Linked DNA regions of Danio rerio. The protein of the gene in region 1 interacts with the protein of each later gene in a pairwise test. Links are inferred from orthologs where the notes say so. Each region holds a gene or a part of one and is shown in the gene's direction. Other genes may lie near its edges. The genes, in order: tsc22d1 and ccdc90b.

Region 1 (15,967 bases):
TTTCGGAGTTAAATTACACAGAACAATGGCAATTCTCATACAGGATCTCTATTTTTTTTCACCATATCACCAAAGATACCCGTTTTAATAAGTGTTTACAAAATGAAAGCAGACTCCTGTGTATAAATTGACCATTATTGTCCACGAGCACAATAGCTCTCTGTGTTTTTTGTTGTGGAGTGCCAGTGTGATTTAAAGCTGCTGACAGCACCAGACGCTTACATTGCAATCAGCTCTCGCTGGCTCTCTCCCTCTCAAATTTGTATGGACGGGCATAGCCTGTCTGCTTGGTCTGGACATCAGGGCACATGCTCATTTTGGGACCACATTTCTTCATACTTAAAGGGGTAGTTCACATAAAAATGGACAATTACTATTTACTTACGCTTAACAGGTTTCAGACCTGAGTTTCTTTCTACTGTTGAACACAAAATAAGATATTTTGAAGAAAGCTGAAAATCGGTCAATAGTGGGTAAAATAAATACTATGGAAGTAAATGGTTACAGGTTTCCAGCTTTCTTCAAAATATCCTATTTTAAAGAAAGAAGAATGAAACTCAAACTGATTTGAAACAAGTAAAGGGTGAGTAAATGATGACCGAATTTTCATTTTTTATGAACTATCATTTTAATCTGTTTTATATATATATATATATATGCGCCTAAATGTAAAATGACCCAAGTGCAGTGATCATGTATACACACATATATATATATATATATATATATATATATATATATATATATATATATATATATATATATATATATATATATATATATATATATATATATATATATATATATAAAATGTATACATGATCACTGCACTTGGGTCATTTTACATTTAGGCGCATGTTGTCAGTTCTTTATAAAAGCAACTCAAAAATTGCCAGTTTGATGTAATAATTCACAAGATATGTGTAAGACATTTGGTGCCCTGTCATTTTGAGAGCTGTCTGTTTATGAGATCTGCATACTATTAGCCACAGGACCATAGCCAGAGAGGGGCTTCAGGTCGTTCAAAGACCCATCCCTCACTGACAAAGGTCCAGAATTTTTTTTCATACATTAGCTCATTTGTCCTATTTTTACTCATATGCCATCATAAATAGTGAAAATAACCTATCGAAAAACCCATCAAATTACATGTTTTACAAGAGAGACTAGAAACATTGTGAAGCTCTATATTATTGTTGTTATTATTATCATTATTATTATTATTATTATTATTATTATTATTATTATTATTATTATTATTATTATTATTATTATTATTATTCAAATGGTCAAATTTTTTAAAGAGGAACGTTAAATGTGCTGAACAGTTTGTTATTTATATTTTGCCAAATAAATGACAATAGGCTTGTTTTTAATTTAAAACAGATTATTTTTTCCATAATGATATATAAATGTAATAAATTTGTATTTTAAAAAATAAGTATTTTTTTCATATTTCAAGCTAATCCGACTAGCCAATCCAGCTAAATGAATGCTTAAAATGTATTTAAATCTCATAATTAAATAGAAAATGTAGATTCATTTATTCATTCATTTTCTTGTCAGCTTAGTCCCTTTATTAATCCGGAGTCGCCACAGCGGAATTAACCGCCAACTTATCCAGCAAGTTTTTACGCAGCGGATGCCCTTTCAGCTGCAACTCACCTCTGGGAAAGAAAATGTAGATGTACAACTATAAAAAGGTTCACTTTTTGAGAACCACCACTTTCACCAGGCTTGCTGTGGGCCTGAGCTTAGCCCACAAAACAGAATATTTTTACATATAACAAGCATTTTTACACATAGATGCTCAAAAAATTAACAAGAGTCTTTAAAATCATTATCTGTTCTCTGGATTTGCCATTAGTAGGTCCGTTTGTGTTAAATGTTCATTTGTGTTGTAGAAGAAAAAATAGTACTCTGATAAGGTGTTTTCAGAATTACAAATAAGAATATTGTCATTTAGAAAATGTATTATATATTAAATTTTCACATATTCTATTACATTTTCACATATGACACAATGACTGGGTTTGTAAACAAAAATAAAAAAATCTGAGAACAAAAATCTAAGAACCAAATGATTTGTCAGACAAATTCCTTTCCTGAACAACTCACAAAAATCCACTATCAATCCATTTTAGAAATTGTTGGGATGAAGAAGTTTTTATTCACTGCATTTATCTTTTTATTTCAGAGACAGATTGTATAAGTTTCTGGTAGAATGTATAAATAATCAGTGTGGGTATAAATATCTGAGGTTTATAATGCGAAACTTGTTCCAGACAACAAAGATGGTATTCTCACAATCACAGCTGAAAGCTAAATATAGTTGGATCAGCACACATGTAATAAATTCCTGTTGTATTATAGTGTAGCTTGTCTGAAACAAAGCATATATTTTGAGTTCACATTTTGGATATTATTCATGTTAAAGTAAAACAGCTGAATGTTTTTTTTTTGTGTCTGCTGCACCTAGAACTTTAGTTCTCTGCTCCCCAAACAGCAACAATCAGATTGTGTGAAAAAAAAAAACTGTGTCAGTGCAGATGTGTTTGGTTGCTCTTTTCTGTCTGTGGAAATATCTGGGTTCTCTTTCAGACGAGTTGTTTTGTAAAAACAGAACAAATCTCTGGACTATGTTGACAACATTGTTGTCACAAGGTCTGTTTGCATCTTGTTGATGTAGCTGGCCTGTATAGGCCAACACACACAATAGCAGCTAACTTAAAATAGCGTTTTGCTTAATCGTTCATATGTTTAATCTGTAGTAGGTTATATTTTATAATTAATTTATGTTCAAAATTAAATCTGAAGTCGATTTTTATAAATATAAAATTTTATACATTTAAAACTGGGAACCAGAAATCTATGCCCTGCCTTTTTCGTCTCTCCTTCAATGTCAAATAATAATAACCACGGCGGACAAAAGATGTTATTCTGAGTGTTTGCTGCCACAGTTACCGAAGGCTATAATAAGAAACACCCCTCAACCAACACAGTTGGTCGCACTCGGCTCCACTCGGGCCTCTTCGGAACTCTTCGTCGACCGTCTCCTGGAAACCCCCCTCCCTCCTCGCCTCCGCCCATCCTCGCCAGACTCTCTGGGCTTTATGTCTGGCCGGGTGGACGTGAACTGCCATGCGCGGTCGCCATGTTATCGCGCTCTCCTCCCCTTTTCGGGGACTCGTCACAGGCTCATAGCACTAGCACAGGCTACATTACAAGGAGGCAGCTGGTGAATAGGAGCAGAGTGGGAGAGAGACATTGCGCTAACACAGGAATAAAACAAAAGAAAGCACGGGATGGAATAAAGCAGGACAGCGCTGAGTTGCTCGCTTTCTCTCTGTCATCTGACGCCGGCTGGAGGACTTAGTTTCGTGTGATTTCGTGCTCTGGTGACTGCGATACAACAATTGAAAATGCGCCTGGCAGTTTGAACTGTGATGGGGAGAAACCGTGTCGTTATAAGGTTGGATATTAATCGCCTCGGCCGTCTGTGTCGACTCCTGCACGCTTAAACTTCACCGATATGGTGTGCTGAGTGATTTAGTGAGGATATACCTTTGAAAACAACAGCCGAAGCGAATCCGTGTCGGCTAGCTCGCTAGCGACTGTTAACTTAGCATTGGCATTAGCCTGCTCCTCATGGTGGACATTTAAATACACCTCAAGTGGAATTATTGTGGCAGTTAGAAGAACGTGTTGGTTTTATGTGGAAATTACTCGAACGGCTTGAAGTTGCTTTCCCAAAAGAGCTTGTTCTCTTGAGCTGCGTTTATAACTTTGTCAGAGACTATACTCCAGCAATGAATCACCACGAACGATCCGGAGACTCCGGCAGCGCCCGAAAAATGGTTTACCCCATGAGTTTACCCAGACGGGAGAACAGCAGCAGCACAGTAGGTGGTTCCTCTACATTGACAACTTCAGCAAGCACCAGCCTTAATAGCAACAACTTGATGCTGGCGGATGAATATTCCCCACCAGTGCTGATTCAGTCTCAAACGCAGACTGCGTCCTCGCTCGGGCCCCAGAACCCTCCGCATAGCCTGAGTATCCCCTTGCAGACACCCATGTTACCCCAAACGTTGCCCACTGCAGTTGCACAGATGAAGAAGAAGAGTGGCTTCCAGATCACCAGCGTCACCCCGGCGCAGACATCTGTGAGCACCAACAACAGCATTACAGAAGACACAGAGAGTTGTGACGACCTGGATGAGTCCCACACAGAGGACTTGTCATCCTCTGAAATCATGGATGTGTCTCTTCCACGGGCCAACAATTCAGGAGGTCCTGAAAGAAGCTCCTCTGAGGAGACGCTGAATAATTTTCATGAGGCGGAGACCCCTGGTGCCCTGTCACCCAACCAGCCACCCATTATAACCCAAGCACACCTGCATGGCACCATGGTTAACGGAACTGTTCACCACCACCATCACCACCACCACCATCATCACCATCATAATCCTGTTTCCTCTGGAAAAACCCATCCTGCTGGAGGGACACTGATTGGGGTACCTTTGGGTGCCCCGGTCACATCTGTGGTGACCTCAAGTTCGGCTAGCACAGGCCAGAAAATGCCTTCAAATGTGGTGGGATTGATTGAGAATGCCTCTGTTGGCACAACTAGTGCCATCGGACAGCCTTTGGCTACTCTCGCCTCTGGAACTGGAGTGATTTCTGTGACTTCAGGTGCCACGATTAGTACTGGTAATACTTTAACTAATAATGTTTCCGTGTTAAACTCTGCCAGTGTGCCTGTTGTGGGTGGCAAGACTACCAATAGTAGCAGTGTAAACTACTCCTCTGCTTTGAATAGTATTAGTAACCAAACCCCAAACTTGACCCACGTTCCCAGTGGAATAATCGGCATGGGCATCACCGCTGCTGCCACGGTTTCCGGTAGTGTTGCGTCAACAGGTGGAGGGCAAATGGGGCCAGCTGTCATGGGGCAGCATGCAATGCCTGCACCCTCTGTCCCAGTGATGAGCGCTCAGCCTCAGCAGGCCCAAGTGCCTACTCCTGCCTCCACCAGTTCACGTTTCAGAGTGGTCAAATTGGACTCTACCTCTGAGCCTTTTAAGAAGGGTAGATGGACTTGTACAGAGTACTATGATAAGGAAGCCCCAAATGTGGCATCCTCTGAAAATGCCCCTAGCACCCGAACAGTGGAAAGTATCCGTCAGTGTGTGCCTGAAAGTGTGGCGGGACAGGACCGAGACACAGTCAGCGGGAGCTCTGTCAGCAGCTCAGCTAGCCATTACACTGAAAGTCTGGGCAGCGGTGAAACGGGCGGCCCCTCTACTGTGAAGCAGACCTTCCAGCAGCCCATGTCTCAGATGCAACCCCAAGACTTAGTTCAAGTGCATCTTAAAACGAATGCAGCAGCTCCGATGCCGGCAACAGCAAACATTCAGCAGCAACCGCCTGCATCTATCGGAGGATTGCAGACCACGATTGTTCAATCGTCTGCACCTCTACCCTCTCATATGCCCAAACTGACATATGCCCAAGCAGCCCAATCCCCTCCTGCTCAAGCTCTGCCTGTGGTGACCCAGCAGCAGATGGGCTATCCGCCCGCACAGCAGCCAGCTGCACCAGCCCAGGTAGCACCAACACATGTTAACCCCTTAAGCCAGGGAGGCAGCCTGCCATCTGACTTCTCCCAATCCAAGCAGATCCTGAGCACTGTGCCACCTGGGTCAACAAAAACTCTGCCCCACCTGTCCGCCTCCATCCCTCCTGTGGCTCTCGCTGGTAATGGTCAGATGATCACACCCTCCTCGCAGCCCCCTACTGCTCAGCCACTTCCGCAAGGGCTCCTGCAGCCACAACAGACACCCGCCCCGCAGATGGTCCAGGTTGTGCCGCAGCTGGTGCAGTCCACTGGCACCACTCTTATACAGCAGACACCAGGCCAGCAGCTCACCTCACAACCCTCCATGGAGCAGCAGCAGCAGTCACAGCTCGGCAGTCAAGCCCGTGGCACCCAGTTCGTCCCAGCCGTGACCTCATCAAGCGTGCCTCCTAACATTCAAAGTGATCCCCAGTCCAGTTTGTTTCAGAACGGCTCAAAGGAGACTGGGCCGCAACCTGCTGTTAGCACCCGGCCCTCGGTGATGCCGCTGGAGGATGCCCAGCTACTTCTGTTACAGCACCAGGCTCTGCTCGCACAAACCAAGCCAGCCGGTGGTGAAAGTGCCTCCCAAACCGGTACCTCTCGTGGTCCAGAGGGAAGCAGTGGAGTCAATGCCTTATCCGCCTCGGCCAGCCTGCTGAAGAGTTTACCTGTTGATGGAGAGGAGGATGGGTAAGTTCCACTGCTTGTTTTTTTTAATTGCATTGCTTATTTCAGTTCAATTTAGTTTGTAATTATTTCAGCTTTATTAAAAAAATCACACATGCAGCTCAGCATGGTGATCAGCATTATGCTTTAATCAACTGCTATCAACAAATTGTAGTGTGCAGTGAATATCACAGCAGGGCGATGGCTTTCCACAGCATAGCTAAAATCGCAAGCATAGCTTTTTTTGTAACCTAAAACTGTAGACTGCTAGACTGTATCTTTGGTATTACAGACAGAAAGATTATGCTTTCACCTAACAAGAATTTCGGTCTGCTTGGGGGGAAAAAGGCACACATGAAATCACTTGATAGTGCAGTATTTATGAACTTGACATTTCCTATTGAGACAGGAAGTTGAGCCTGTAGTCTTTTGTTTACCTCACAGCCTCAGACTTTTTTTTAATGCTAGTCGGATGTGTGTGTGTGTGTGTGTGTGTGTGTGTGTGTGTGTGTGTGTGTGTGTGTGTGTGTGTGTGTGTGTGTGGGTGTTACTGATAGGGACTTTTTCATTCTAGAAAGTTGGCCTGTACAATATATTGTTTCAGCATAGATTTTGCAACATGTGACTCTGCAATATTCACACTGCAGGATGTGCAATGTTGAACTGGGATTATAGTTGACCAGACACTACAGTGGAGTCAATGCAAAGTTTAAACTTAGAGTGAGTTTTTATTTGTGTGTGTTTTTCAGGCTTGTGACAGTAAATCAGGTAGTTATTTGTAGCTTAAACATTAATTGTATACAGTGCTTCCCACAGGTTTGAAATATACTTGCGCTGGTCACCGGATTGAAACACACCTTTTACCCACATCAAATAAATATTTAATGAGTGACAAACAAAACATAATTAAATTTTTAACAATAATTTTATTTATGAGATTATTTTACACTTTTTTTTTTTTAAATTGGTTAAAATAAGAAAGACTGTTGGAAAAAAAATCTACTATTTAGCTTACTTTTTTGCTATTCAGGAGCCATGTGCACACGCTGACAGGGTAAAATCTTTTTCTCGCTCTCTTTCAAGTTCAAAGCAAACTTGAATGCCAAATGCATTTTACATACACTTTAAAATTCAATAAGTTAAGGCAACTTAAAGCATTTGAGGAAACCGATTGCTACAAATCAATCGAGTTAAACTAATCTATATGAGTACTGTGAACTTACTCCATTTACGATGAAGTAATGAGATATTTAATTAATCATTACCTTCAACACTGATATATTGTGCAGCCCTGTTATGTAGATATGCTTTCCGACAAAATCATCTTAGGCCCCGTTTACACTAGTGCGTTTTAGTTTTAAAACAGCGTTTTAGATCAATAACGATCCGCGTCCACTTTACCGTTTTACCTAGCGTCTCTGGACATATCTCCGTCCACACCACACCACCCAAAACTTATATCACGTGATCATTCGCGCACTCTAGGCATGCGCTTTCTAGTATAAACAGAAATCATGCGTCTCGCTCGGCATTTGGTTATTGTTAGTCAACAAATGCCGCTTGAACATTAAACGTGATGGCAAAGAAAGCAAGAGAGGTATTTTTGTGGACAGACGACAATGTCGAGTTGTTACTAAACGTAACAAATGAATAACTGCACAATGGCGCCTAAAACAGACAATAGTGCAAACAACGTTCCTATTTTTGTGCCCATGTTGTTGTTTACAGTACTGTCTTCCGCTTAAAGCCATGTGTTATAGTCATGTGATGAGGCTTGACGATTATGGGAAGGATACAGTGACGAAGGCAATGACACAAAAGCCCCAATCAGGTAGTAAATCTCAGCAGTCCCGCCTCCGTTTTCAGATGTCTCCGTTTTTCCTCATCCACACTAAGACGGAGCAGCAGCGTTTCAGAATGAAAACGGTCTTCAGCGTTTTTAAAACGCTCCGTTTTCGGCGCTCGAGAACTCCGGCGTAGTGTGGACGGATGGCGTAACCGTAGCAAAACTTATGCGTTTTAAAACAAAAACGCATTAGTGTAAACGGGGCCTTAGTCAATGTAAGGTTCTGAATTATTTCCAAATAGCTGTTTGAATCATCCAGTGAAAAATTCTATTTATATCGCAGAGAAATGAAATATCACAATGTCAGTTTTAGAGCTGCACAATTTGACACTGCAGAATTTAACAATAATAGAGTGAAGGCTTATCTTCTGCTTCTCTTTTTAAGGCTTGTGGCATTGAAGAGATTTTTAATAGTGCATAAAGAAGTTTAATGAAGATTAATTGTGTTGAATAATTTATATGATGAAAATGAGTGTGGATGGGTGTTTCCCAGTGATGGGTTGCAGCTGGAAGGGCATCCGCAGCATAAAACATGTGCTGGATAAGTTGGGGGTTCATTTCGCTGCGGCGACCCCGGATTAATAAAGGGACTAAGCCGAAAAGAAAATTAATGAATAAATTCATGTAATAAAGACTATGCAATATTATTTTACCTTTGATTATTCAATTTCTGTTCCCGAATGCTGTTAGACTCTCCCCAGAAAACCAGCACTATTTTTCACTTTAACATTAGCTCCATTTGTGTTTATTTCTGACTCTAGTTTGTTTATCATTCATATATAATAAATTACATAAGGTATATTTAAATTTTTCTCCCCTACAAAATCATCCCAATCAATCTAAATTGATGACTTTACTTATAGAGCTATTCAAGTCATCTGGTGAATTTTTATTTCTATCGCAATATATATCGCAGAGAGAATAAATGTATTGCAATGCAAAATGTTTCCTATATTGTGCAGCCCAAGTTAGTTTATTTCTAGTATTGTGCAGCCCTAGATAGTTAACTGTCTAAATGTAAATGTGTGTCAGCTAAAACTGAATCTTATGATTTTATGAGCACTAGAATTAAGGTGACAATCAAGATGAAGTTGCTTGGACTTAAATTTTGGATTTTAATCCTGGATATTATTGAGCTTGCAGCAGATGCTTTCTTTGAATGATTATTACTTCTGACGTGTTTGCTGAAAGCTGTAGCAGTTACACTCAAAAGATCTGTGTCTGTTTAAACTCTTAAGATGTCTACGTTTAGTGCAGACATACAGCAATGTTAGCTTTTTATTCAACCTCAGCTGATTAAAATACCTGTAAATATTTTCTCACTTCATCAATAGTTTTTCAGAGCCTTTTAAAAAGTCAAAAGCTGTAGTAAGCTTCAATCGTGTACATTTCTTTTGCATTTCATTGCAAGGCCTAATATTTTACCAACAAGGCAAGCTCTAATTATAATGTCATAGCTAGTCATGCAGGTTGGAATGAATATATACACACTGTCAAACATACTTCTGGTAACTAAGACAGTGTGACATATGTTTGCATTTATCTAAAGCTGTTCATAGTCATGCAGCATGCTGATGCGCACTTTGTTTATGAGTCGATCAAAAGTAAAGTTTTCTGTGCTTGACGGAGCTTGTCTAACAGATGTCCTAGAGATGACAGAGTTACTCTGTAATCTAACACTCCTTAATGAAACAGATTTGTCACACTGCGTGCATTAATGTGGCACTGCTTGTTTCTCTCAGGTGTTAGTCATGATTTTACTTGAAGATTTTTATCGTCTTTTTTTATAGTCTCTAAAATGTTGTCTGTCTGCTCAGCTATGGCTGCATGATACTTTGTTTTGCTGCAATATACCGTTTTAATTGATAGCTGGAAAGAATTCATTAATTTAGACTGATTATTGAGTCTGGGATTATTCTGCATTATTCTAGACGAAGTGACATTTTCTTTATCACAGTATTCAGTTACTTAAATTGAATAATCAAATGTGAAATAAGACTGTATAGTATTCACTGTACAAAATATTTAATAAATACATCTTTATTAAAGTTACAAACGATAGGATTTCATGTGCCTCAATACTTTCATACCTGGACTTTTGTTTCGGAATCTTGCGTGTTTCCACCAGTTTGCATGATTCGTTTGGCAGATGTGAATCCAGCAATCGTGCTCGGATCCATGCCAAAGAAATCGGTCTGAGATTGCCTGAATGAGGTGGTCTCGGCTCGATTGAAACAAACTCTGAAGCGGATCGATTGCAGTGTGAAAAAGATTCAACAAACTAATGAACCATGCTGTTAAATGCGACTGAATTATTATGGAGAGCTGTTTATCAGTAATCAAAATTGACCGAACAGCAGTCTTGGTTTATCTGTTATTTCTCCCCATAATGTAAAGCTTATTTTGCATAATTCTAGCTAACGGTTATGTATGAAGTCTTACCTCTCTGATTTATATTTGGTGACGATGTCTGTGGGTGTCACCATTCAAAATTAAAGCTCAGCTTTTCGCTTATAATGTCTTACTGCTCATCGTCAGGACGCATGACAGCTGAGCGAGACTCTGCAAAATAAACCCTTAAACTTTGACCAATGTGGGGAGAGTTTTCTTGCACGTAACTTGTATTAGCTCTTTTGGTCAGTTTAGAAACTTTGTTTTTGGTAGGCATGGGCCGGTATAAGATTCTGACGCTATGATGAGCTTGGACATAAATATCACGGTTTCCCAGTATCACAGTATTGAGATTACTGCTCTAAAATAAATTATTTTTAAATGTCTGAGTAAAAAACTATTTTTTCCCCCTTTGTACACAATATATTTTAATTTATATTACATTTAATTTATTTAAAATGTTTTAGAGCAGTAAACATGTCAGACTAAATCATGTGAATTGATCATTGACTTCTGCTGTCTTTATAGGTTTCAAAAACACAGATTTTCTTTTTACAATTTAAAATGGCATCTTTTGATATATTTTCTGCTAGAGATACTGTTATCCTTAAAATCAAAAAAAAAATGTAAATAAAAAAATCTTACTTGTACCTTAGGAACGATATAGCAGAAAATTTTTATTGTTTTAAAACCTTGACTTTTCCAAACTGCGGCATACCTTGAACACCGTTGTCGTCCCATGCCTAGTTCTTGGTGCGGTTCTCTTTCACACAGCAAAGTGCAGCATTATAACTATTTTAATCCCTGTTTTGGAACTAAAGAATCGATCTACAGGTGTGAAAGCACCCTTAAACTCTTGTGCCTGAACACTTACACAGTCACTGGCCTTAAAACACAAGCAAATTACACATTTTTACTTCAATATGGTTAAACTCTTTAGTGACTCTTCTAAAAATCTTCTGTGTTCTGAGCTGTGGCTTCTGGTAAACTATAATCCCAACATATAAACTCAACTTTACACTTCCTCCGATGTGACTTGTAGATGTGCACATTGTGATATCGATGCTGAAATGATATTTTGTGCCGCTCTATGCTCAACCATAGAGTGTCTGAGGTTATTGGATCTGTCTTGGTGCATTTGATGGTCTTATAAATTGTGAATCATCACTTATTGTTGGCCAAAAAGCGTTGGTTGACTTCTAGTTATGCTCAGTGTATGTTTAGTTTCTCATGGCTTTCAGAACGAATGCAGACAGTACCATAATCAATTATGAATATAATACATTTTCTTAAATTATAGCACAATGAAAAAACAACAGCAAAATAGCATAATTTATTCTAGATTCTGCTAACAATTGCTGTAGTCCATAAAAAAAGATGTCTCATTTAAATGTTAAGTTAAATGTTAAGTTAAATGTTTTTCTAAAAGTTCTGTTTGAATGAAGGATTCAGTCACTCCTATTATAGACTTTGTTAATTAAACAGCCTTCGTCTGAAGGGTCAAGTTACCTTTTTAAAAATACACTTTAGTACTCTTTAGGAACTAATATGTATGTTTAAAGTATCAATGTGGTCCCTTTCTGAACTTCTGAAATGACACTGCCCTTTTGATAGCTCATGTATCTTTCTGAGAAAGTTCAAATGTGTTCACAGATATGATAAAGTAATTGTTACATCTATATAATATGCCATTAAAATTAGTTTCTTATTGTTCCGCATAGTTCGGTTGTACATTTCTGATTGGGCAGAACGAAAGTGTGCTCACTCGTTTGCCTAATAAGACACACACAGATGGCAGCACGCATTTGCTCTGGGAGGGGGAAATAAAATAATATATATATTTCATATTGCTGCATCTTGCCATTAGCAAATCGTGATTGCGATTCGATTTCAATTAATTGCATGGCCCTAATTGGAACAAATGAAGAGTAAATGATGACAGAAGTTAATTTTTGGGTGCTCTGTAAAAAAAAAAAAAACTCTACTTAAAGTTGTAAGGCAACTTGCTTGCACAGCTTTTTTGAATTGATTCATCTTTCAACCAAAATACTGTAGTTGACTTTTTTTTAAGTTGAATCAACTAAAAAAAGCTGTGCTGCAAGTTGCCTTAATTTTAAGTTGAGTTTGTTTATTTACAGTGTGAACGATCTTTTTAAGTGTAAAAAAGTGATTAGTTGACTTTAGTTAATGAAAGGGAGTAACACCATTTATTTTAAAACAATTATTTGACTTTACTTAAAGGTAAAAGGGAGTAAATCTGTTGCCTTAATCAAGTAAATGTGCAGCACTATACATAATTATTAAATGATTATGTTGTTATGATACTGGAATTCAGAACCAATCGATACTGGAATTTAAAAACGCCCGTTTTTCGCTAATATTTGCTGTTGAACACCACTGATTTGCCATCGTGTTCATGTGCTCAACAGAAATGACTGTGATTGGCCATGAAGATCATCAGTTCACCAAAATCACAGCTGTTTACCAAGTGTAAACACAGATACAGAGAGTGTTTTAAAGCTGCAATTCATCGGCGGATCGTTTGCATGCCAGCTTATAGACAAACCAGCTGATTGATGTGACTTTGAAACTTCGCTTTGTGACTCAGTAAACAGCAGTAAGTCAGGTGAACTGATGACCTTCACTGCTGGTTGGCCATTGTGTTCATGTGTTTAAAAATGTGCTTAACAGCGTTCAAATATTTCCTGGAAATGGACTATTTTAAAACTTCAGTACTGCTCGGTACTGAATCCCAGTATCAAGACAACCTTAATTAAAACTAAATCAATTTAACAGTTAGAAGTTACAACAGGTACAGTTAAAACATTTTTTTTTTTTTTTTCTAATTTAAAGTCAATTTAATCTTAAGGCAAAAGATTGACACTCTATATAAATATATATTTAAGTAATCAGTTGTTATGTTTTTCTCTTGAATGTAATTATTAGCAGCTTGACACTGTCCTTTTTGAGTTGGGTCGTGATCGTGTGGCAGAGTTGCACATCTGTTGATGTCCATCTTCCTCTGTTAGTTGTCTTATGGGGATTTTATGGCCTTCTAGTCGTGTTGTGCATATCCTTGCTGTCCATATTGACTGGTTTTATATTTGGTTTGATTGTGTTTGGATGAAGGACTACCTGCAGGAGAGGTGACCATTTGAAAATAAAACCGATAAAAAAGCTCAATGAGAAAACAATTTGATATTAACCTGTTTAGTTTGATTTCTCTGTTGTGAAACGCTGTCAGCTGCTGCTGTTTTGCTGTAATGCCACTTACACAGGATGAGATCATGTATTTTCCTATTATTGCTCTTGCTCAATAACAGATTAAGTCAGTGCAAATTATTTGTTTTTTTTATATACTGTTCTTAGCTCACAGTGTTGACTAGCAGCCTCGTATATAAAATTATACGCTTCCGTTTACTTTTTCTTTTTTCTTCATTGTAATCTGCTCTTGGCAGTGATAAAAGCTACACATGAGAGTCTCAATGAATCACTCATTGTGTAGAGATCAAGTAGATTATCTCTCCAATTAATGACCCTGTGGAATGGGAGAGAAGAGGAAATGCTTTCACTCGGCCTGATCGGGCCAGAGCAGATAACGGGGCTGAACTTGAAGCAGGAGATTTGGAGTGCAGAGCCTAAACCATTAACATATTTATATTTTTTAATATTTGTACTTATTTTGTTAACTACTAGCTTTTTAAATTATTTTATTAAAGTTTTTACTTATTTTACTTTTACTCGTTTGTTTTACTATTTTTGCCATTATTTTGTTTTTGATTATTATTATTATTTTAAAATCATTTATTCATTGTACTTTTTATTTTTACTTTTTTACTTTAATTTTTGTACTTATTTTTGTTTTACTTATTTTCTTTTGCTTATTTAATTTATTAGAATTTTTGCTTAAATTTTTTACATTTTAAAATTTTTTTTATTTTACTTTTATTTTTTTACTTTATTTTTACTTATTTAATGTTTTACATTTTCTTTTCCTCCTTATTTTATTTTTATGTTTGTTTTATTTATATATTTTTTATTTATTGCTTACATTATTTTGACTGTTGTATTATTTGTATGTATTTATTTTTTTACTTTTCATTTCCTGCTTATTTTATTTATTTTTTTCTTATTTAAAATTGACTTTATTTATTTTTTTGCTTGTTTTGTTATTATTTTAATAGTTTACTTATTTTATTTGTACTTATTTACTTGCTTGCTTGATTATTTAAAGCATTTCTCTCTCTTTTTTTAATAAACAAGACATTTTTTTTTTTCAAGGATAGGTAATAATAATATGGGTTGAAATCACTCATTGGGTATAATGTAAATGTCAATTTAAATCTTAAGGCCAGCTTTCCCTTTAATGTGTTTTTTTGCCATATTATTACCCGGCATCAGAAGGGTCACTCTGCTGATGTAATCCAAGAACAGATCCTGTACTTTTGAAGGATTTTTTTTTTTTTTTTAAAGACGAGACTCTTTGTACACATGTCTCTCTCTCTTTTAGGATGATGTCATTTGGATTAGAACCTGTCTTTCCAAACCTGAGAGCAGAAAAGCACAGCAAAGTACTTTAGGGACTGAAAGCTAATAGGGGCAGAGACCTCATGAGCTCAGCTGAACTGGTTTCTCAAACACATTGACAACAGGCATTTGCGCTTACCTCGACTCTTTTTAGGTTTCAAATCTGCTAAACTTTCATATTGTTTCTGTAGGTGATAACAAATGCTTTGCTGCTGCTTACAATCGCCTGACAGATATTGTTTTATTAAATATTAAAGTTTAAAATAAATCTCACGTTAAAAACGGCATAATTGCATTTGCTAAAGCTAAGGATGGCCGATATATACGACTGTATCGATATTGGTTGATAAATGCTTTTTTTTATGTAATTATTATTGGTTGGATAACAAAATAAGGCCAATATCTTGCTGATAAATTATATTATTATATCCCCTATTTTAATGATTTCAAATTCTTTCTACCTGCCACTTTTTTATTATTTTAGCTGTGTTTTTATTTTGGTTAATGTTAGGTTGTTTGGTTGCTGTATGTATACAGATTTTTTTTTCGTCAGTCAGTAAATTATTGTATATACAAAATATATAGAAATGAAAGCATATAAATGAATAGCTGGTTAATATTAAGTTTAGAGATCAGTTAAGGTTTTAAAACCAGCAGCTCTTGCCCCTATATCAACCTGTGGTCTGTGTGGGTTCCTACCGCCCCAGTACAGTGAAGAGAACTCTATACTGGTCAGTGAGCACTGTCTTTCGGATGAGATGTTAAACTGAGGTCCTGACTCTCTGTGGTCGTGAAAAATCCCAGAATGTCCTTCGAAAAGAGTAAGAGTTTAACCCCGGCCTCCTGGCCAAATTTGCCCACTGGCCTTTGTCCTTCATAGCCTCCTAAGCATCCCCATATCATAATTGGCTTTA
Region 2 (16,472 bases), on another chromosome or scaffold:
TACCGCCTTTCCTGAATTATTGAATGAAGAATGTAATATCAAATTAAAATCAATCAATCGAATAAACACCCAATAAAAAAATCCAGTAAACTCTTTTTAAATACTGACCTGAAGAGCATTTTCAGAGAAGTGACACTGAAGATTGTAAACAGCAACATGAGGAAGAGTTTGATGGGTAACTCTGGAATTAAGAATGAAAAGGAGTTACAATCAGTGACTTGAAAAGGCTTACAGTGAGCATTTCTGAATAGGGCATACCTTGAGTTGTGAAGAGGAGCGGAAACAGGGAATAATGACCCGTTATACTGAGGATTAGAAAAGTCCTGGCATCTTCTCTACTCTCCACAGCGAGCAAACTGAACAAGGAAACAAGAAAAACATTTTTGAGAGTGGGCCGCTAGCAGAACATGCTAATGTAAGAATACCATCAGACAAAACAAAATTAAATCACCTTAAGGGCAGTATGACCATCAAAATGGCTTTTTCATGTACATGCCAACCAAACATGAAAGATCCAAGAGCACAGACGACAAGGCAGCGCAAGAATCCTCTTGTTCCGTTAGGTCTGTGCCATAACTTGAAAAGAGCAGGCTGCGAGAGAGAAAGAGTCAAAAACTGAACAATCATCATAGTCTATGAATGCAAATGTGACCATGGATCAGGGTTGCCATGTATGCAATTTTTCTGCGAATATAGGCAACTTTTTACCACTTGACATGTGTTTTTTTTTTTTAATCCATGGTTTAAATGTATGATGTATTGCATAAATTATATTTATATGGGTGTCCTGATACATTTTAATTAAATATTTCTTATTACCAAATTTATATTCCACCAATGATTAAAAACTGTGCTAGGATGATAAAACGTAATCACACTTTTGTGAGGTCCAGGGGTGTTAAAGGTGTGTGCGTGCCTGTTTTCGCTTAATGGTAACAATTAGGCAGGAATTTAGGAATTTCTAGGATTGTTCTAAATATAAATTGCATAAGTATATGAAATCTAAATTAATTAATTGAAAATTTTATTAACATTTTAAATGTTTATTCTATGTTTATGTTTTATGTTCATTCTTGGAAAAAAATGGCAATTTAAATAGCTACAACATCTCATAAGTTTGTGCTTCACTTCCGCCAGAGTAAATTTTTTTACTCGACTTAAGAAACACAATGCTAATATAAGGAATCAAAAACAGAATCTGTATAATTACGAATAAACAGTTATTTAGTTAAAGAAACCATTTGTAAGGCATATATTAATTTTGTGTTTTGATATTATTGAGCTATTTTTGATAGACCATTAGGGTTAGTTTTGTGTCGAAAACCTGGCAACCCGTCATTGGACCCCAAAACCATAAAAGTAAAATTAAATCTTTGGATATTAATATTTATACATCACCTATAAATAAGCTTTCCATTGATGCAAAGTTCATTCATTCATTTTAGTCACCACAGCGGAATAAACTGCCAACTTATCCAGCACGTTTTTACGCAGCGGATGCCCTTCCAGCCGCAACCCATTTCTGGGAAACATCCACACACACACATGCACACACTCCTACACTACAGACAATTTAGCCTACCCAATTCACCTGTACCACATGTCTTTGGATTGCGGGGGCCCTGATGCAAAGTTTGTTTGTTGAAATGCAGTTTAGGTCTAACCAGATGTGCAGTAACAGCTAATGCAGCATATGGGTATAAGTTATATAGTGCAATTATAGAAAAACTATTAGGTAATATTTACAGATGGATTTACTATGAACATTATATGCAGGTTGTATTAACAATGATCAGTGATTTACAATGAATGAATGAATATATGTACAGGTTGCTAATAATAATGAACATAATTACACTTGTGTATGTGCGGTGGATATATATTTGCAGTGGGAAATGTACAACATATCTGCATGGAACATGATTTTAATATTGTAAAAATGTCATGCATGAAATAAAAATCTATTATTCTGACTCAAAAACTGCAACATTTTATATACTTGTACTTTGCAACAAGTGTCACAAATCTAGATGTGCAAATATTAAATTATGACAATCAAATAAAAGATTCAGAAGTGCTCACCAATATTGACAGCAATGTGCAAATGAGTGTTGCTAAAGGAGAGACGGAGGGAAGAACAGAGTGCTGAAACTCCTGAACCAAACCACCAGTCATTGAGGCTTTAGGAAGTTTGTTCATGTCGAGCAGTTTGAATTTCACACCTGGATAAATGAATTAGTACTGATCAGTGTTAAAAAAGTGGCAAGACATTTATAATATGTGATATTACATATCAATAATACAATAATACGTAATACAATTAGCTGATTCTATATACTGTTTATGTGGTTTTACAGTAAACCCACAATTACTGAACATACCAAGGATGGATAAAGCTTTATCTGCTATGTTGTAAAGTGCCCAGATGTTTGGTGCCCAGTATGCATGACACAGACCGCGCTTGAAAGGGAAGAGTCTTGATAGGACCTGCGGAAGCTGACCCTAGGTAGATAAAAATGAATAAGTGAGTAACTGTGACAAATAGAAAACTTAAAAATACTGATAACTTGATGAGATTTTGTAAGGTTTATAAGATTTTGAAAGAAATCTTGGTCACACTTTACAATAAGATGTCATTAGTTAATGTTAGTTAATGTATTTACTAAGAACAGCATGTATTAATCATAGTTCAAATCATGCTTATTAGCATTAGTTAATGCCCCATGAGTTAACAGGAACTAACAATGAACTACAACATTTTCATTAACTAATGTTATCTAACATGAATTAATACTGTAATGAATGCATTGTGAATTGTTTATGTTAGTAAATACATTAACTAACATTGACTAATACAACCTTATTGTAAAGCGTTACTGAAATATTTTATGCTCATCAAGGCTTTAGTTGTTTGATTATAAATAACACCACACTCTATGATATTGTCACTTATTACAAATTTAAAATAAAAAGTTTTATTATTTCAAATTAATTTCTGTCATGACAGAAGCAAACTATTCCTGAGTGTCAATGTTTACTGTTATTTAGATTCACTCTAGGCAAATTAACATCTTTATATTTTTGCTATTTTTTATACAGTTGCTATCTTTATTAATAAGAAATTACAGAAAATAGAAAGATTAAAATTTAACCATTAACAAACACAGAACCCTTTATTCCACAAAAAAAAGGTTTAGTAACTATAAATTATTTTTTAAATATCGCAGTTACACTTTATTTTGATGGTCCGTTTGCTGGATTTAAGTTACATTGCCAACTAATTCTCACTAGATTATAAGTAGACTGTTAGGTGGAGGTGTAAAGTTTCTCATAGTCAGTTAAAAGTCTGTTGAAGACTTAGTATCAGGAGGTATTAAACAGACAGTCTACTGATACTCAAATGGACCATCAAAATAAAGTCTAACCAATAACATTTATAATATAATATACAATTTCAAATACCTTTTAAAATAATTAGTAATTATACATAACTTTTATTTTAACAAATTAACTAGCTAAATAATTAAATGGGAAAACACACACACACACATATACACATATATATATATATATATATATATATATATATATATATTAGGGATGTAACGGTATTGTAAATACCGTAATATTAATTTTTTTCGATATTACCGAAGTCGCATGACTCGGTAAAACTATAGGTCTTCTGAGAAAATTTGCTCAGGCGAATGAAGCGAACGGGAGGTAGCGAAAACTACAATTCCCATCATCCCCTGCGGTCTGTTGTCGCTACAGATCCAGTAATGCGGAAATGGAGTGTGCTGCTAGAAGCGGGGATCAAAAAGAGCTGTAAAACTCTAAGGCCCCGTTTACACTAGTGCGTTTTAGTTTTATAACGGCGTTGTAGAATGAAAACGATCCGCGTCCACACTCGCGTTTTTCCCAGCGTTTCTGAACAGCTCTCCGTCCACACCAAAACGCTGAAAACGCACATCACGTGACCACAGACACTCTCGGGCAAGCGCTCCAGCATTTTTACCCAGATGAGAGCTCTGCTTGTCGGACTGCTCATCAAGCATCTCCCGCTGGATCTAATCTCACTATATTTGCTAAACGTGATATTTCATTCATGTTGTTGTCTTTATCTAATGACATAGGCCAATTCCCTGACTTTGGTCATTGGAATCTATTAAGTTACTTGTTCACGGGTAACATGTTTTGGTTAAGCGCAAAGATAAGTTAATGATTAATCCAGGTACATTGACTGATCGCTTGCCTTTATTTCCTACAATGTATAAACTTATTGTATGCTATACTTTTATAATTATCGATTATTAAAACTGATATTCAGCAAAAGAGAGGGTGCGTTTCGTATTTTCACTGAAATTGAAAGGAGGCAGTTGTTATAGGCTCCGTTTTGTTATAAATATCCACACAGTGAAGATGACGCTCATATATGCAGCACGGCGCCTCAACATTTCTGCTGTCTGTTAAGTTTTCTAATATTAAAAAGGAAATAGGCAGTTCCTTAAATCATGTTTACATTTTATTGTTGAGAAAGTGAAACAACGTAGCCAAGGTGATGTGAATGAAGTTATAAAGTACACTGTTCCCTTTGAAGATTTACGCGTGTCCTCGGTATGTTTTCCATATCAAACTGAGAAGGGGGAGACTGCAGCCTTGATCAAACTTGCGAAGTCTTAACTTACAAGAAGAGGATGCGAGACTGAACTGTGTGTGGGCTACTTAATATTGAGGAAAAGCCCCAATCAGATAGGCGAACGTTTGCAGCCCCGCCTACGTTTTCAGATGTCTCCGTCTTTCCCCATCCACACTGAGACGGAGCAGCAGCGTTTCAGAATGAAACGGCCTGTCCAGCGTTTCCAAAACGCTCCGTTTTCGGCGCTCGAGAAATAAGTCATATAAGTCATATCTCTCTTGTCCCAGAAACATCAGTCCCAAATGAGAGGGTTTTTTTTCTGTTGCAGGGGACATTGTAAATGCCCAGATACCAGCTTTTACCAGATTATATTTATATGATAATTTTCCTTTAAACCCATCTCTATCTAAGTGAGTGAGTGATTAAATGTTGAATGTAATGAGTTTTCAACAATACTAAATTAAAAACTTTATTTTTTTTTTACATGGTTTAATATTTTTTTTGTTATTAAAATTGAAGTTCCTGTTTCAAAGCTTACAGATAGATGGCTAATTTGTATGTCATTGACACTTTTGGCACTTTTTTGGAGTATTTTCATAAGTTTTGTTTTTTCCTGTAAATGATTTAATAAATACCGTACCGTGACATTGATACCGAGGTATTACCGTACCGTGAAATTCTGATACCGTTACATCCCTAATATATATATATATATACATTCATATCCACACACACACACACAGTCAAGCCCAAAATTATTTATACCCCATATATACATATATATATATATATATATATATATATATATGTGTGTGTGTGTGTATGTGTGTGTGTGTGTGTGTGTGTGTGTGTGTGTGTGTGTGTGTGTGTGTGTGTGTGTGTGATTAACAAACCAGTGCAAGAAAGGGTCCGATTGACACAGCAAAAGTAGACAAGACAATAGTTCCAAGTGCTACAAGTCGCAAGACACTGAAACTTCTCCATGACAAAGACCCATCTAGGAAAAAAAAATATTTTTTTATGATGATAAACATTTTTTATTAATTTACTTTTATTAATTATGGAGAAAAAGCATAAAATAAATTACCTGGATTGCTCTGGGTGAAACAAAAACATCTTAGCAGAAAGATACCGTATGCAGGTGCAATGTATAGATATATATGCTTCAAGTTTAAAAGTATTGAAAACAGCAAGGCTCCCTCTAAGTGTCTGTTCTGTCAACATACACAAAAAAAACCTATTGAAGCAAACTTTCCAAATATTTTAAATAAAGTTTTATTACAATACATGGTGTTTAAAATGTATTTAACAAACTTCAGTTTTCCTATTTTGAAGGCTTACTGATTAAAAAAAAATACAGCCAATACCTGTAAATGCCTTGCTATTGACAGGAGAAGAACTCCAAACAGGAAGCCGTTATACTGGAAATGAATATCTGCAGCAAATCAGTCAAGTGAAATTAATTTCAGGTAAGAGAAAAGACAGGTCTGAGCCACAGCAGGAAATGCATGACTGAACTCATTAATGAGCAAAGTCTCAAAGGATACGATCAACAATTAGAAGACCAAAGTTCCACAACAACAACACCGTCAGGATGAAAGATGGCTTTCCCAGAAGGTCTTTTCCTTTGTCTTCTCGCAAACATTTGCAACATCTAAAATATTACAAAAATAAAACAAATAAAATTCAATGTAAACTATCTCTAAAATTGTCTGTTTAAAAAAAATCTTTTGTTAGACTTTATTTAAGGAGATATAGTTACACTTTATTTTTTCATTTAAGTACTGAGTAGTTACATGCAATTACTACATGGTTGCTGTTAGAATCTAGGTTAGGTTTAATTACATGCAATTATGCATAATACATTGTAATTACTAAAGTAACTGCACGGAACATGTATAACTAGATCACCTTACATTACAATGTTACCATATCCTTTAATAAAAAAAGAAAATGGTGGTTTGTGAAAAGGTAATAATACTTAAGTGTGTAGCATGTAGACAGAACATACTCTTTAACTGCATAAAACAAGACTGCATCGGTCACGATGACTGAAAGCCTTTGAAAAAGGACTGTTGCTGGACTTGCATAATTCAGATTTTCAACAACCAGCATCTCCTTATCAAAAAATCGGGCAATATGAGAAAGTCCATATTCAAACCAAGCAAACAGAGGAGGATAATCCAACGTCCACTCAGATGTAGCCTGTAAAAATAAAGATTAAACCACAAAAATAAGACTTAGTTTTATTTAGTTTGTTATTTATGGCCACTTTATTAGGTACATCTATTCAACTATGTTCAACACAAATATCTATATAACGAAATATCAGCCAATCACATTGCAGCAATTTAATGCATTTAGGCATGTAAATGTGGTCAAAATGATATACTGAATTTTAAACTGAGCATCAGAATGGAGACGAGCTGTGATTTAACTAATGTTTTGAGTAGGGAATTGTTGTTGGATGCAGATAAGCTGGTATTTAGAAACTGCTTAATAGAAAAAAACTAAAGTGTGTCTGTGTGATATGTTGATTAACTCCAGATATTTGAGGAAAATGACTAAATTGGTCGAGCAGGCAGAAGAGTAAAAGTATCTCAAAAAACCACTAGTGCCTGGTAATAACCAACATCTGCAGAACAGCATCTGTAATCAAAATGTCAAACCTTGAAGTAGACGAGCTACAGCAGCAGAAAAAGTTCACAGCAGGGACACAAATAAACTGAGGTCACAGTTTACATGCGCTCACTAAAACAGAACAATGATAGACTGGGAAAAGACCAAATTGATGGTCAAATTAGTCTTTTTTATGCAGAAACGTTTCACTTGTATGTTCAGAATTTGTTGTAAAAAATAATAGTATAAAGTTGATAAATATGTGTGTTGCTGTCATGTAAACATAGGGAAATGTTTCCAGCACCTGTCTGAACCTTAAAATCCGTCATAAAGTACGTTAACTCTGAAGGCAAACCAAAATGGTTCATACTGGTCACAGCATGGTGTACCTAATAAAGTGGCAAGTGAGCGTAATAGTATTAATACTAATAGTAGAAAGAAAGAAAGATATTTTGCATAAGAAAAAAAAAACATGCAATCTGACTACCTCATAATACCACTGAGAGACTGGCAGACTGTGAGTCAGGGCGAGCCAGTTCCTATGCACTTCAAAATCCGTAGAGTGACTGAAATACAAAAAAGTTTTAAAAATGACAATTTTATACAAAACAGCTTTACATTATGTGAGTGTTTTCCACTTCTGTAAATGAGAACAGAATGAATGAATCTTGGCTATTTCCTCATTCTTACTACACTGAACACAACTTTAAATGTGTTAATCAAATGAAAGAAAATGTACATGTTGTGAGATGACTTCACTTACTATGCATTTATCAGGAGACATTTCAGAAATGAAACTCCGAGTGCCAGAGCAAAAAACCAGCTCTGGTCGTTAGTCATGGACGCCGCCATGACAGTCTGCTGGAGAAAGGAAAAATACAGCCTTCGAGTGGAACTACCGTGTTGCAATGAAACTGTTCTCCGTTAAGGGGCGCTTGGCGGCTCACATAAGACATAAGCAGAACTTTTTTAATAATATCAACCTATTTGAGTTTCGTAAAGACATTTGTTCATTAAAGATGTGGGAAACTATAAAACAATATATTTCAATGTTTTCTTTTATTTGGAACAAATTTGGAGCACATGTGAACAACGTGCAACATGATGACTTAACAGCAAATTGTTTACTTATTTTACTTTAATTCTTCATTCGTAAATGCAAAAATTTGAAAACAGCTTCTCAGTTGATTGTCTTTAAAAAATAATTATGTAGGGGATTTACAATAATAAAGAGTGAGAGGGCTAATGATTTGTTTCAAGAATATGGTTTTATTTAACCCCTTGTTTCTGTTTGGTGTCAGCACGATATCTTGTTCTTTTTTTTTTTGTTGTTAAGTTATTTTATACATTTGGTTTGTTTGTTTTGTGTAATTGTATGGCCTTCTATTCGATTCATTGTATATCTGACATGTCAGTCAGTTCAATTAAGTCGGAATTAGGTTTGGCCTATTTTTACCTTATTTTTTGAAAGGCAAATAAAAATATATTTTTTATTTTTTTTGTATAAAATCTGTGTAAATTTTATTATTATTATTATTATTTATTTTATTTTTTTGAATTATGCCTTTAACCTTAAAATTTCGGTGGAATGTAAACATTGCAATGACAACATCCGGGTCACTATATCATGCTACTGCCTTTGGTTACCTTTACCAGTCCATCAGTGAAAACTCACCTTCTATACAATCTATCGAAACATCCTCTAAAGTTACATATTTGGAACAGGAAACCAAACAGTAAACGAACAAAAACAGAGAAAAAAACCCTAAGACAAAACTAATCGATTTGACCGTGAAAGGAGTGGTCGATCCGCCCTAGAGTCGCACTCGAGAGCTGGTCTGGACTCTAGTTGAGCAATCTGATAAAAAGTACAGAAACTAAAGGCGCATAGCAAGTATTTTATAACCTAATACATCAAATAGTAGCAATATATAACTTTTATATATAACAATGTCGTCCTGGGGGATCTTTATGCGGAGACAGCAGCAGTTTTGCTCGCTGTTAAAACTTCATCAACTCAACATCCAGCCCCTGTGTCATCAGAGAGGTAAGAGTTGATCGGCGGATACTGTACGCTATCTATATAGTGCACTTAAGTGTTTAGAGATGTATTTTTCTTTTAGGATTGCATAAAACAAATGCTGTCAAAACATACGACGTGAGAAAGGTGGAGTTAACACCACTGGAACAAAGGAAACTCACCTTTGACTCCCATGCGCTCGTCAAAGAGCTGGAATCAAGCGGTAAGTTATGTTTACTACAGCAGTTAGATTACTACTGCAAACTGGGCTGAAGTTTTCAGTAGAAAGTAAATAAAGGTTTATTTATATAGCACCTTTTACAGACATTAAGTCTCAAAGTGCTTTACAATAAGAAAAAAACAGAAACAGGTAAAATAACACATCAATTAAAGAAAACATATTTAAAAATTCAAGTACAGAAACACTAATACTGTTCATTTAAAGCTCGACCAAAAGGATGTGTCTTTAAATGCTTTTTAAAAATTTAAGCTGATCCCAAGAGAGAGTTCCAGAGCCTTGGGGCCACAACACAGAAGGCATGTCACCTTTAGTCTTAAAGGCGAGTACTATCAATGGTTAAAAGGTCTTTGCCAGAACACATCAGAGACCGGTACATGAGTGACTACGTAAAAGATCTTAAATGTGTAGGGGGCTTGATCATACAGAGCTCTGTATGTAATGACCAGCATCTTATAATTTACTCTAAAACTAATAGGAAGCCAGTGAAGTGCCTTAGGCAGAGGAGTAATGTGTGACCTCCTACTGGTGTTGGTTAAAAGCCTCGCCGCTGCATTCTGTACAACTTGCAATCGATCCATAGAAGATTTGTTTAGACAAGTGAATAGAATATTACAAAAATCCAACCGTGAAGAGATAAAAGCCTGGACATGCATCTCCATCTCTTCCTTTGAAGAAGAAAAGTTGTTGCCATTATGTTTCTAATTTGCATGGTACATGCTTGTATGTATATGTATATAATTTTTCCATTATAGTTTCTTGTACATTTTTTTATTAAATATTTGTTGTTGTTAAATGTAACATTTATATAAAAGGATTAGTTAAACACAAGTATATACAATTTATTTCTGTAGAATTTACTGTAAAAACATTAATGGGGTTTTTCCAAACCATTGCTCCAGAACTTGGCTGTTAGGTCTCGAATAGAGCAAATGATTTTGTCAGTGAGGGAAACAGTTAATATTTAATTAAATGCATGTTTAATGGCCTTTATTTAACATCATAATCCAGGCTTCGAGAAGAGGCAAGCAGAGCTGATTGTCACAGCATTAGTGACTCTTACTACGGCCAATATTGACATTGTATACAGAGACATGGTGACTGGAGCACATCAGGTAAAGCGTTAACAAAACTGCTGTCAGCAAAAATGTCTCCGTGAACCCAGTTGAATGATATTGGTTTCTTCATTTGTTCTGTGTTAGGAAATCGCTTTACAGCAAATCATGGCTCATCTCGATGCTATCAGGAAAGACATGGTTATCCTGGAGAAGAGTGAATTTGCCAATTTACGTTCAGAAAATGCTGTAAGATTGACATTTAATCCTGTCTTTCATATTTGTTTATTGTTTTAGAATTAGAACAAATGCAAAATAGAGGGGGGGAAACCTGTTCACACGTAACACTAGTTTAACTTTCGTATTGCATTCAAAATCTAGCTACTTTTTGTAATTTGGAGACCCAAATTTTATTAAACTGTCATAACATTTTTATCAACTTAATTATTTAATGTTTCAAATATTTCACACTCAGAAAATGAAAACTGAACTGGAGCAAATAACGAACAGACTGCTGGTGAGTAAAGTGATAATGTGTGCATTTCAGTATTTTCTGATTCATTTAATCATTATGTTTTGTTAAAACTGTAGGAAGAAAGCCAAAAAATAAGAGCTGAAGCAAAGTTAGATATTAATCTGGAGAGAAGCAGAGTTACAGATATGGTAAGAGTGCATTTTAACGTTCTAAACGGTTTAGGAAATAATGCTTTCAGTCACTAAAAGGGCTTTTATTCTAGTTTACAGAACAAGAGAAGAAACTGATGGATGTTAGAATGGAGTTTCAAAAAATGGTAAGACAAAAGCAATCGTTTGATTACTTTAAATTGGTATGGAAACATAATAGTACTTTAACCCTACGTTTTCAACAGAATGCAGATATAGAAAGTGAAGCAGTTGAAACGTCAAAGAAAATAGACATCCAAGTAGCGTCTTTGAAAACACTCCTGGAATCGCTCAAGTTGGAGACTGTTAGATATCTTGCAGGTATGGACTCACCATTCTTTTCAAAAACTCTTTCAGATAAGAATATTAACTTCATAACATATTGATTTAACATTTTATTAAGTACTAAAAACAAATCTGTTAACTAAATGATATTTTATTTTTATGCTTCACAGCATGCATCTTTACCTGCTTGGCAATTGCCTTGGGATTCTATCGCTTCTGGAAATGAAGCTCACAAAACTGGAGAGATTTCAAGTTTTACCTAAACCTCATGTAACTTTATTATCTTTTTGTTAACATTTTTCATGTAAGCAACAAAATTGAGGTGTAAAAACATTTTACTTTAAAGGGCCAAAAAAATCAAACTCGTTTTAGAGTATATAATCATTTTTTTAAAGCTATTGCTAACAATTGCTCAAAGTACATCAAGTATGTCCAAATAGTCCTCTTTTAAGCAAGTGTAGTACATACTTGTACAATTTTCAGAAAACATTTCTTGAAATGTTTTGAGTTTGAGCATGTTTGAATGCCACTTTACACGAGTATTAAGTGATTTTGTATTTTTAAACAGGGTTATTAAACCTCATCTGGAAACGGAATCAGTTGTGTTGTCGTCAATTCACTTAACTTGAATCACGGAACTTAAAGTCTGAGGTAGGCATTAAATTTCTCATTAGGATAAAAAAATATATTTTTATGGTATGTAAAATACAAAACAGAAAACAAGCAGAGAACATTTCCATTTAAACTGAAACTTTATTTAAAATTCAGCAGAAAACTGACAACTTTTAGATCAGTCAAAAAGCACACAATCACTTTTCACACAAGACACTATTTCTTACTCAGATTTTTTATTGAATATTCTGCATAAAGAAAAAAAATGCCCTTTCAACCTTTGCGAAAAAGAGAAAAGAAACCACCCTGATTTTATTTCCATTTTGAACTAAGCATTACTTTGAAGCAATACAGCAGTAAACTCTTAACAACTATTTACAAACTGAGGTCAGGGAAATGCTCATAGTAAACTATGTACCATCAAATATTAATAATTTACAATCTGCCCCAAAATTGGATTTAAGGAATTATTAAAGAAACGACTGAAAAGAGTCTCGTTTTTTTTTTTTTTTTGTAGACAGGACATGAAGGTAATTCATAAATTAGTATTCAACCACTGTTGACCATTTTCAAAAGAAATCAGAACAAGTATCTTAAATTCAGAACCAAAAACAAACATTTTAAACCTTTTTTTATCAATACTACACAAAGTATACCAAAATATCTTTATTTATAAATTAAATTATACATATACATATACCCCAAACGCACATCTTTTTCAGTACATTTCATTGGGCATTCACATGGCAAAAATACCTGAAATGTGCAGGCAAATACAAATACAAAAATGTATTTAAAGTGACTAGCTGAGGTCCCGGCCCCAGAGCTCTGCAATATAAAAATATCCTTCTTTACAAAAACACAAAGGACCAGTTAAATAACCACCAAAAGAAGTGGCTAAAGAGCAGCATAGTTAGAAAATAATTGCACTGGTTTGTGATTCTCCTTCTAACTTAACCTGAACCTCCTCTTTTACCATTGGAGCCTCCGTATCATCATCAGCGGGCTCTTCTTTAATACTGGAACACGACGTCTCGTCATCCTGCTCTTGTTTCAAAAAAGCTGTTAAGGGATTTTCTGTAAGCATTTTATTGGGCGAGGGTGTGGTGTCCATAAAGGAGGATGTCTACAACAAAAAAAGGAGGCATTTCAAACATGTTCCAACATTTTTTTTTTTACATAATTCTACAAAAGCAAAATGTAGCTTCATATTATACATTGATGCACATTAAAGAAATGTCACCCTTAAACGAAAATTGTCATTTACTCATGCAGTACCAAATCTATGTGTGCGTCTTTCTTAAGGTGAACAAACACAAGACACATACAATTGTTTTTAAAAATGCTGAATTTCCAGGACAGCTGATTCTAAACATTTATTCCCCTCACCTCCTCCATGAAAGTCAATGGTTATTAGGCTGTCTAGTTAACAACATTTATTAAATGTCTTGTGCACAGTGAGTAAAATTATCATTTTGATGAGACACATTTCCGTACACTTGTAAATAAAGGGGTTTCTACAGTAACGTGAAAGAAAGGTTGGGTAAACTAGACAAAGCTCCTGAAAATGTGAGATGTAGATAAAAACTTTTATTTCAATCATTATCTGTATGCCTTTACAACAATACATTTGTTTTAATCTGACTTTGTCCACTTTCGACCACTTTCTAGATTTCTGTGTTGGGAGAATCTATGAGCAGACACTAGAGATTTTTTCTGATCTTTCGAACAAATCCTGCAAAATAAGACTTCACTAAAATCTGTGGATTGAAGTTAAAAAGAAGGACTGGTTAAAGAATGTGGTGCTTTTTACAATACCCAAACCAAACATGCAATTTCAGAAGGCAAAAATGTTGATGAACCAGGTCAGTTGGCAGAGTTTGTAATGTTTAGTGTCTGTTTGAACATGACAGAATGGCATTTTTAACTCCTGTAAGTGCTTGAAGGTGGACACGTTGTACACCAATATTTAAGAAAAATAAATTAATGTGAGGTTATATTAAGAAAAATAGTCTTTAAACCAAGTGTGTATTAGAGCCTTTGACTACATTTGGAAGAACTCGAAAATGGAGAAGTTCAATTTTTCGATCCTATTTTTCACATGCATTTTAAGTTGTCCACTTCAGTGGTTATCAGATTAATAACAGCATCTTTACTTCAGGTGTAAATTTTGGCCTTACTGTAGAAAATATTTTAATATGAAGAACACTTTCCTACTTGAACTGGGGTGCAGGTAAAATTTTGAAGTAGGTACTTGTATAATAAAATAGGCAATTGCATAACATCACAAACTACTTAAATCAAGACTTACATTTTTGTAGTCTTCATAACATGAGGGATGATAGGTCTAAAAAAAGCAGAGAAAACAGAATGTAAGCAGATTTAAGATACTATCATATAGAAAAATCAATAAGGGTTTTTCTGTTCATTAGTGTGTTTCTCACCTTTTCATCAACTCTGATGGCATTCTTCAGGTGCCACTCTTCCTCTTCCTCCTCCCAGTACATCTCAAACTGCTCCTGGCAAATCTCGCACAACTGAGGTAAAGAAAGAGTGAAGTCTTTAATTTGACAGGCACTTACTTTCAGACTTAAAATAATCATATTGCTTGTTCTCTTACCTCATGAACGACATCCGCTGCAGCCTTCACGCTCTGGAACTCCCTTTCTTTGGCTGCCTCCTGAGTTTTCTGTACAACCTCTTCATGAACTTTTTCAAAGAACTGACTTTTTGCCCTCTCTTCAAGGTCAGCGATTTCCTCAAATTCAATCCAATCCTAAAACACAATTTCCAATGTTAAAAACCTTTGTTCCCTGGCCCCATTTTCAAGAGGCCAATTTATGACCAATAAAAGATAAACATGAAATAAAACCGATTTACCGTCAGACTGTAGTACCAGCGGCGATGCGTGACTTTCTTACTGATGTCTTTCTCTGAGCGGTTCTGTCTGTAGTGCCAGTCCAAATGATCTGCATACACGTCTGTCTGAGATGCAGTAAAACGCATGCCACAGGAATAGCACTGGATTCCAGTATAGAGTTTAGTGATAATGCTTTCGTGTCTCCTGTGGTAAAGAAAATTTTCAAAACATCAGCAATTTTTCCACACTCACATAACATATACTACTCTTAGCTTTGACAAGTCTCCAGAGTATCTTACTGTTTCATGTCATCCAAAATAAAGCCAGTCAAATCTGGGACACTGTCATCTTCTTCTTGCTCTTGCTCCTCCTCCTCCTCCTCTTCTTCAGGCACAGATATAGTCTGACTAGCTGATGGGGAGTCTAAGACAGATTTTTTTAAATCATGAAATTGGTTTATTTGATACATAAAAGTAAACTGCAATAACTCTTATACAGAAAAGCATTTAATATATCAAAGTATGCATACCAGCTGTTGAGTCTGTAGGTGCAGGTTTAATAATTCCAGTGGATATAAGCTTAGACATCAGATCATTCACATCTATTTGTCTCAATGGCTCTGGCTCAGGCTGTGGAAATTGGGAGACTGAAACAACAAACAATTCACTTAATACATTAAGGGTCTAAAGTAGATTTCACAATCAAAAGCAAAGAAGCAAACAGTAGTGTATAATTGATTTTCAGGTTATCACCAGATAACAGATTTAGAGGATATTTATTACCTGGCTGAAAAGGCATTGGATTTTGGGGCATGAAGTTTTGAGCACCCATCATCTGAAATATAATTTTAAATGTCTGTTTTAGAAAACAACAATACAAAACACTCTGCAACTTTTATAAGTGAGGCAGTACTTACAGGCTGAGGAACACCTCCGACACCCGGACCAGGGAATGGAGGTCTAAATGAACCCTGAAAATCTGATGATGTAGGAACTGGCACACTGAAGTTGGAGGTTTGCGAGACATTTTGCTGCATGGAAAACTGCTGGGCTGGACCACCAAATGAGTTTATGGGTGGCATGTTGAAATTGGGTGGGGGTACAGTAGGGTTTATCATTGGACCTTGACCTTGAGTTTGATCATACATTGTTGGTTCCTGTGGTCTTAGCTGGTTTGGAATATTTGGACCGCAGTATCTTGGAGGGCCCTGTGGGTCATATCTTGGCATGACAGGTGGTGCATCGAACCTTAAGGGTTCAGGCTGCACAGGGTTCTCAAAACGAATCCCACATGTTGGGTTATCAAATCTAACTGGACCCTGCTGTTCATCATAATTAATTATCCTAGCTGGAAAATGTGGTTCCTCATATCCTGGTGGGCCCTGTTGCATTTGAGGGTTATCGAACCTTGGTGGATTAACAAATCTGTTTTGGGGCATTGAGTGATCATAATGAACCGGTGTTGGGGAGTCAAATCTAACATTA

What was found.
Region 2: the proteins of tsc22d1 (region 1) and ccdc90b interact in a two-hybrid assay, tested with the Homo sapiens proteins (2 studies listed by BioGRID and IntAct). The link is inferred for Danio rerio from reciprocal best matches to the Homo sapiens genes TSC22D1 and CCDC90B.

Annotation. Positions count from the first base shown.
Region 1 is NC_133184.1:20,406,148-20,422,114, reverse strand, and holds the start of tsc22d1 (TSC22 domain family protein 1), read left to right. Parts: upstream 1-3,162; 5' UTR 3,163-3,713; coding exon 3,714-6,313; intron 6,314-15,967. UniProt on the Homo sapiens protein: Transcriptional repressor. Acts on the C-type natriuretic peptide (CNP) promoter. Acts to promote CASP3-mediated apoptosis.
Region 2 is NC_133196.1:24,343,136-24,359,607, reverse strand, and holds ccdc90b (coiled-coil domain-containing protein 90B, mitochondrial), read left to right. Parts: upstream 1-8,880; 5' UTR 8,881-9,205; coding exon 9,206-9,302; intron 9,303-9,378; coding exon 9,379-9,498; intron 9,499-10,524; coding exon 10,525-10,628; intron 10,629-10,715; coding exon 10,716-10,817; intron 10,818-11,043; coding exon 11,044-11,085; intron 11,086-11,159; coding exon 11,160-11,231; intron 11,232-11,305; coding exon 11,306-11,359; intron 11,360-11,437; coding exon 11,438-11,552; intron 11,553-11,686; coding exon 11,687-11,742; 3' UTR 11,743-12,112; downstream 12,113-16,472. Other genes in the region: alg8 (dolichyl pyrophosphate Glc1Man9GlcNAc2 alpha-1,3-glucosyltransferase), read right to left, coding at 1-11, 109-181, 259-356, 452-591, 2,083-2,222, 2,382-2,502, 5,530-5,633, 5,724-5,850 and 5 more.